2 linked regions of the Oryzias latipes genome follow. The protein of the gene in region 2 binds, or shares a complex with, the protein of the main gene of each other region. Links are inferred from orthologs where the notes say so. Each region holds a gene or a part of one and is shown on either strand. Other genes may lie near its edges.

The links.
Region 1: the proteins of ncapd3 (region 2) and ncapg2 are in contact, whole or in part, in a cryo-EM structure (PDB 9F5W), measured with the Homo sapiens proteins. The link is inferred for Oryzias latipes from reciprocal best matches to the Homo sapiens genes NCAPD3 and NCAPG2. Residues at the interface, in NP_056076.1 of Homo sapiens: Glu1213, Lys1216, Ile1217, Pro1218, Leu1220, Gln1247, Ser1250, Glu1251, Tyr1254, Lys1258; in NP_001268861.1 of Homo sapiens: Phe291, Lys332, Pro333, Ile334, Trp336, Lys340, Ala341, Arg342, Arg347.

Annotation. Positions count from the first base shown.
Region 1 is NC_019878.2:19,845,872-19,848,943, forward strand, and holds the end of ncapg2 (condensin-2 complex subunit G2), read right to left. Parts: coding exon 3,064-3,072; intron 2,305-3,063; coding exon 2,205-2,304; intron 2,093-2,204; coding exon 1,890-2,092; intron 1,811-1,889; coding exon 1,676-1,810; intron 1,584-1,675; coding exon 1,480-1,583; intron 1,403-1,479; coding exon 1,302-1,402; intron 1,204-1,301; coding exon 1,104-1,203; intron 1,026-1,103; coding exon 974-1,025; 3' UTR 706-973; downstream 1-705. UniProt on the Homo sapiens protein: Regulatory subunit of the condensin-2 complex, a complex which establishes mitotic chromosome architecture and is involved in physical rigidity of the chromatid axis.
Region 2 is NC_019873.2:3,921,648-3,925,472, forward strand, and holds part of ncapd3 (condensin-2 complex subunit D3), read left to right. Parts: intron 1-132; coding exon 133-266; intron 267-1,608; coding exon 1,609-1,681; intron 1,682-1,756; coding exon 1,757-1,882; intron 1,883-2,617; coding exon 2,618-2,870; intron 2,871-3,825.

The sequences.
Region 1 (3,072 bases), on a different chromosome or scaffold from region 2:
GCTCCTGCTCAAGAAGCCGAACCCGAATCCATGGCTCGCTAAAACGGCATGTTTGGACGCACGCGGGGGTCTGCTGCTCGGTCTGGGGGGTCTTAAATTGGCATTTTTTTAAAGGTATGTTGAGGGGTAACAACACCGACGTTGTTTCAGCACCACAAACAGCAACCAGCCTCACAGAGGAGCCCCGCCCAGGTTACTGACGTCAAACAGACACATGAGATGAGGAGAGCGCTCTGAATGGTTTTTACCGGGAGGCGTGAACGCACCACGCCAAAAGAAACCTAAAAAAAAACACCTGATTACTATACTTGTTACAGGCATGACAATGGTGTTGTGAGTTTGCTTTATTTACTGAACAGAGATGTGCACTATCAGCACCTGAAAATTGAATACACCATTTATGGAAAATAAAATATAATTTAGAACATATTTCTAAGCTTTGACCTCCAAAACACTCAAACAAACCTAAATAATCTATAAAATTTGAATCATGTAGTTCATATAAGCATTTTTGCATAATGAGATAAAAAATATTCCTCTATAGGGGTGAAAGCTGTGATAGTTACCCAACAGACACATCTTACTTATATTGATTTATAGTTTGTAATGATTAAAAACTAGATATAAAAACATGCAGTGATGTTTTGATTTACAAGAAAACATGTAAATTAGGATCGTGGAAAAAAACAGACAACAATTCTGTTCATTTAAGTCACCATGTTTTTAAACATTGTCAAAGCTTTTTGCTTTGACAAAATAAGACATGCGCACTGTGAGGAGGGAAGTAAACAGAGAAAAGAAGGAAATACAAAAGCTTTAGTATATATTTAAAAATCCATTTAGAGAAACTGGAACATTATATGCTTGTTTTCCGTCAAGTTCATCCAATATTGTGATTTCTTTGCTTCTAATTACGACACAAATATGAAAAATGAGGAAATAGCTTCCTGTTCACCATGGCAACAAATTGATGTTATAAATGCAGGATCTCATTCAAAGTCTTCACTGAAGATTCATAGATGGCCCTGAAGCAACAAAGGGAGTGAAATTAGTCAAATGAAGAATTACCAGTACGAAAAAGATGCTTTTTTCCTGTTTCTCACCTCTGGATTTCTCCATCGTCTTCATCAGAGATGGCGTATTTGTGGATCTGCTGCTGGATGGATACCGCTGCACTCTTCAGCCCAGCTTCAGAACCTTTGGCTAAAGATGGACAAACACAACATTTATACATATATTTATATAGATTTTCTTTAACATGAGCTTGATTTTAAAATAAATATTCTGGTGACTCAACCCACCCCCCTTGATAACTGCTAAAACACGCAGAACGGCAGCCAGCTCAGAGAGGCTGCTTATGGCTTCAGAGTCCAAAGATGAGCCCACCTCTGTCAGAAATGACCTAAGAGAAGAAAGAAAGCATTTCAGCATCTATGACATGTTTTTCATGAATGTTTTAAAATACTTTTAAGGCCATACTTTGTAATCTGTGGTGACTTCAGAATGACCGACAGCAATGTGCTGGACAAAGGAGGCATCTCATCTACTGACTGTGGGGCGATCACTTCCTCTGGATGAGCAATCTGATAAAAATCCAAATACTAAAAGCTTAGAAGAGGCATTTCTCTCATTAACTTCAATTACACTTTTTTATTTTAGCCGAGTCATCTCAAACCTTTTGGAGAACACGTCTCTTCTCCACAATGATGATGGCAAAAATGGTAGAGAGGACTCCACTGAGAGGTTCTCTGTCCCAGGTTTGTGCCACTTGGAGGAAGTCTCTCATACCCGCGACGACTGACAGACACAGCTGAACCAGGAGACACGAAGAACAGCAACCTCAAAGAAATGTAACGCCTTCACAAAAGAGAGTAAAGAGGACAACATGCCTGTTTTCCCCCCTCTGGATCCTTTCGAAGCCTCTTTGCCAAAACCTCGATTATCTTCTGGAAAATATTGGCCACCACCCCCAGAATGACAGCAGTTGGATCCTCCTTGCTCTCCTGATTCTGGTTGTTGTCCTCGGGTACTTTACTGTTTGCCACCTCCTTTAGAATCAGCAGCACAGCAGGGATGCATCGATAGCCTCCCTCTGCACGCGTGGAAAGAGGTTTTTCTTTTTTCCCATTTTCATCAAAGCACAACGGTTCACCAGATTATATGGAAGAGTTCTGACCCCGAACAGGCACTTTTAAAACCCTCACCTGAGAGGAGGAGGACTGAGCACAGGTGGAGGATTTCACTGTAGAACTTCTCATCGCCCAAATCCACAAGAATAACATCACAACACACGGTTAAGAAGCTCTGGAAAAAATGTACAAATGTTAGACGTTAGAAACACTTTTGATATCAGTCAGACTGGAGAAACAGTGAACTAAGAAATGGCAAAGAATAAGAAATAAAACGGAGAGTTTTGTACATGGTGAGTGGGGACAGAAGCAGAACGAGACAAAATTCACTCAGCAGAACTGCAAGATGTGGAAGGAGGAGGTTAAAAAGACAAAATTCTGTACTAAAAACTGTTTTTATCTGCAGGGGAAATGTGCTGCTCTGAAAGGAAGAAGCCAGAAGTTGTAGGAACAAAAGCATTTGATTGAATCTGCCTGCTGGGAAATCACATCACAGGGTTTGACAATAATCTGCATAAATAACCTTGCTAAAATGCGCCGGCGTTTATCCGCATTTCACTCTTTCTTTATGAAAAGGAGAAAAAAAAAACTGGAGCTGCACGGATTGCAAAAGCCTCCGACTGTCGTAGACGGAAAGCGAACAGGCGTTTATTAAAGCGATAGGCCTCCCGCTGGTGTGATTCTGAGGGGAAAGACATGGCTGCTCGTACGCACACATGACACATTTGCTTATGCGAGCTAAGACCACACCCCTGAGTGACACAAACACAGCCTCATATCTCGTTGTGAGACATTTTCTCCGCTTGACAGATAAAAACACTTGATTCTTGGCAAACAGGCTACATTTTCTGCATTAATCTGGAAAAGATCAACACTAAAATCCCTTCTAAATATTGTCCAGCTGTGTATAAAATTAAGGAAAAGCAGATGTTACCTCAATTAT
Region 2 (3,825 bases):
CTCCTTTTATTCTTACAAAATTTGGTGAATGCAATTTAAATAATTTGTGGTATCCTGACTTCATGTTAAAATGGAAGTTGTGGCATATTTAGGGCATGGATTGATCATGATAACACAATGTTCTTTGTGTAGTCTTTGCGCAGCGTCTTCCATCAGCTGCTCTATGCCATACTGATGATGAATAAAGAGAGTCGAGGGAAACCGGTCCTCCGTGTTCTCAGTCGGAGTGTTTTGGCAATCAGGGATTATGCCATTCAGTTTGTAAGGTGAGAGGTTTGAATTTTTGCTTTGTCTTTGCTTTTAGTATGGTTGGTGTGTGCGCGTGTGACTGGTGGGTAGGACATGGGGTTCCTGGAATAGTTGCAGTAGTATTGGAATTGTTTTATTTACCAAGTGTTTCTTAAATGTTAGAGTAAAATAAATCTATTTAAAGTGATGTCATCTGATGTCCATTAGTTATACTCTTGTTTTTTTACATTCAAGCAACAGTCCTGTAAATCTGAACCTTCATTCTGAAATATATTCCTATGACCACTAGAGGGCAGCGTCTCAATGAAAAAACGTCAGTTTTCTTAAGGAAATTCTTTCAGATGTGAAACATTTTTTACACCAGATCTTTACCACAATCAACTCAACAGCTCAATTGAAACCCTAAACTATTAGACACAGTTTGACTTCATTATTTTTATCTCCTAGAATGCATTTTTCCCTTCCTCCTTGGCAATGTTTTATTTTCCTTCTCTCACGCTTTCTTTCTAGGCCATTGACTGTATAAGAGAACTGGACTGAGTGACCCCCCCCCCCCTCCCCCTAGCATTCCAAACAGGAAGTACCTGCTGGCTTCAAGAAACCAAAATCCCATAGACTTCTATAGAGAAATAAACTGCTTTTACTCCGGTTATTCTAACTTTCTTGGTCTGATACTTTTTTTAAGCATATTTTTGGATTTTTTGTTTTCTGTTTTGCAAGTCTGAATGAGTATAAACTGACCAGTCAGATACTTCAATAAAAGTAAGTTGACAGATTCTCCCGCTTTCACGTGGTAGGGGTGTGGCCCTCCAACAAGTTCACTCCTGATTGGAGAGGGTGGTCACCATAGAACACGGACTCAGTCCGACTTGGATGTTGTCTGGTTCCAATGAGGTGGCATCCAAGAAATGGCAAATGAATTGACTTGGTTTGGTTGGAGCCAGAAGTAAACCATTTTCAATGAGTGACGTCACACTAGTTTCAGTCCAGTTCTCACATATAGTCAGTGTGCTAGCCTAATGCTCATCTGTTTATTTATACCCGTATCTATGCATCCATTCCCTCTATCTGTTTCTCCTGTTTTCATAGCTCTTTTGTATTTTCCATCCATCTTCTATATGCACCGTTCAGGGTCACAGGGATGCTGGAGCCTTTCCACATCTCCTGAAAGGTGCAGCTGGACTTCATCTTAGGCCATTTATTAGTCCATCACACACAGACAACAGACAATTTAGAGGCATCAACAAACCTATGAAGTGTGCTTTTGCAGCGCCACCAAAGTTAGCAGCGTGTGTGCGCTTCCTTTCTATTATTTCTACAGGATGTCTTTGACGTTTGAACTGTTGAATGTGATTCCAGTCATTTGGTGGAGGAGCAGAGGGAGCTGGCGAAACCTTTCCTGGAGATTCTGCTGCAGCACATCTGCTTCCAGGTCAGTCATGAAGACGTTGGATCAGCTGAGCTGGCAACAGCTCTTTTCACAGGATTCTGCTGTGTCGGCATGTAGATGGTGGAGAAAAGCGAGTACCGAAGCCACGGAGCCCAGGCTGTGGGAATGCTGACATCTCAGATGGAAAATGCAGATTACAGCCGCTTCATTAAATGGCTGTTTAATTTCTCCAGACAACCAAAGGTAAGTGTACAAATGGCTAAATATTATGACATATTTCTGCTCCATGCAGGAAAACTTTGGTCTCTAGCATTTCTGTATTTACAGCACTGTTTTATTATTTTAAATGAAGTTCAGGAAAGACTTCATGATGTAGTGTCCTGCTATTTCACATTGACAGTTGGAACTCAATAGTCATAATATGTTTTTGCAAAGGGGCCTTTTATTTTTACTAGATGGAAAACAGCTGATTTTTAAGGTGATCTTTGGGGGCTGACACTTAAAAAGAATTTAAACCTTTCCAGAAGATTTTAGGACTGACAGGAACTATTTCTGAGTGTTTCTTTAATCAAGTTGTTGTGAATCGGGAGCAGATGAAAAATATCATATTTGTGACGTACAAAATACGCTGAGTGGGTCACAGCTCCCAGCTCCTCTCTATTCTGATGCATCCCCTGGTGAATTGATGTAAACAGAGAGCTCTCAGCAATGGGGAGGGGAAGGGGTGTACAGTTTCTCCATGCCATTGGTCCCACCCAAAACTCGGAGGTGAATTTCTTGTGAACTACTGCTGCACTGCAGTAACTGTCCTAGAAAACACAGGTTTTTTTTTATTTGTGCTAAAAACGGCATAATCAGAATTCAAAGCCCACTGGGAATGATCTTCAGAAGATGATGGAGTGAGACTTTTCTTAGTCTGGTCTCATCACCAGCTGCCGCTAGAACCTCAGTGCTGACTTGTTGCCCTGCTGTCGGCAGATGGTCCATCGACTGTTCTCCGTGGACGTGGTCATGGCTTTGCTGGAGCAGACAGAGAGGCGGCTGGAGGAATCTCAGGATCCGGAGCTTGCCATCTTTCTGCCACAGAGGTTTTTGATCCAGGATCTGCTGTTTGCTCGAAGGATGGATGATTCTCCCACCGTCCAAGGCCACGCCCTTTCTTGCCTGGCTCAGTGTTTGGAGCTGCCCTCCCTCAATGTCACCAGGGCCGTCCACAACCTCTTCTCTGGCAGTAAGAGCATACTTACAAGCTTATAACCATGGGCATAAACTAGAATAACATCATTTGATGCTTTCAATACAAAAATAATTTAACAGTGACTCATCCTCGTAGAATTAAATCTAGATAAAAATGTTCAAATAAATGGAGGCAAAGTATTGAGTATGAATATAATAAATATTTTTTCATGAATTTTATTGAACTGTTCCCTGAAACTGACGTAAGACAATAAAATTAGGGGTGTGTATTGGCGATACGATACGTAACCCGATGTTGAACAGGGAAAAACCCCCCACCAGATAGCTTTATACGATACTGGCAGCAACGTGGCAGTGAGTTTCGTGACAAGACGAGCCCTGTGCTTTTATTTTGACACGCTTAACAGTTGACATCGCACAGGTCTCATCATCCTCTCCCTTTCCCACACTCTCATGGCGCAAAAAACAAGTACTGTCAATTAAATATAGCTTTCTTTTTTAAAAGTGGAAGGCTCCTCTTCCGTCTCCTGGCTGGGCCTTTTCCCCTCGGCAAAGAAACTTTCCAGAGACGTTTGTTTTTTTACTAATTTTACTAGCTGCTGGGTTTTATTTTACCAGTAACTTATACTTATCACGTGACCGAGAATAGCGCCTTGGAATGCGTCAAAAATGACATGGACTGATGTAACAGTAATGCAAGTTATTTATTCTTTCTGTGTGGCCCGGTACCAAATGACTCACGGACCGGTACTGGTCCGCGGCCCGGGGGTTGGGGACCACTGTTGTAGAGGGCAAATAAACTATTATAATAAACTTTAATAATAATAAACTTTATTTGTACAGTTCCTTTCAAAATAAAAATCACATAGTGCTTCACAGTAAAACACGGTTATTACGATATATTGGCGAAACTATTTTTTCCAACACCCCTAAATAAAATGATTTATTGAAGGATATTTAAACATTTGGAGTTTGTTTAGTATTCATCA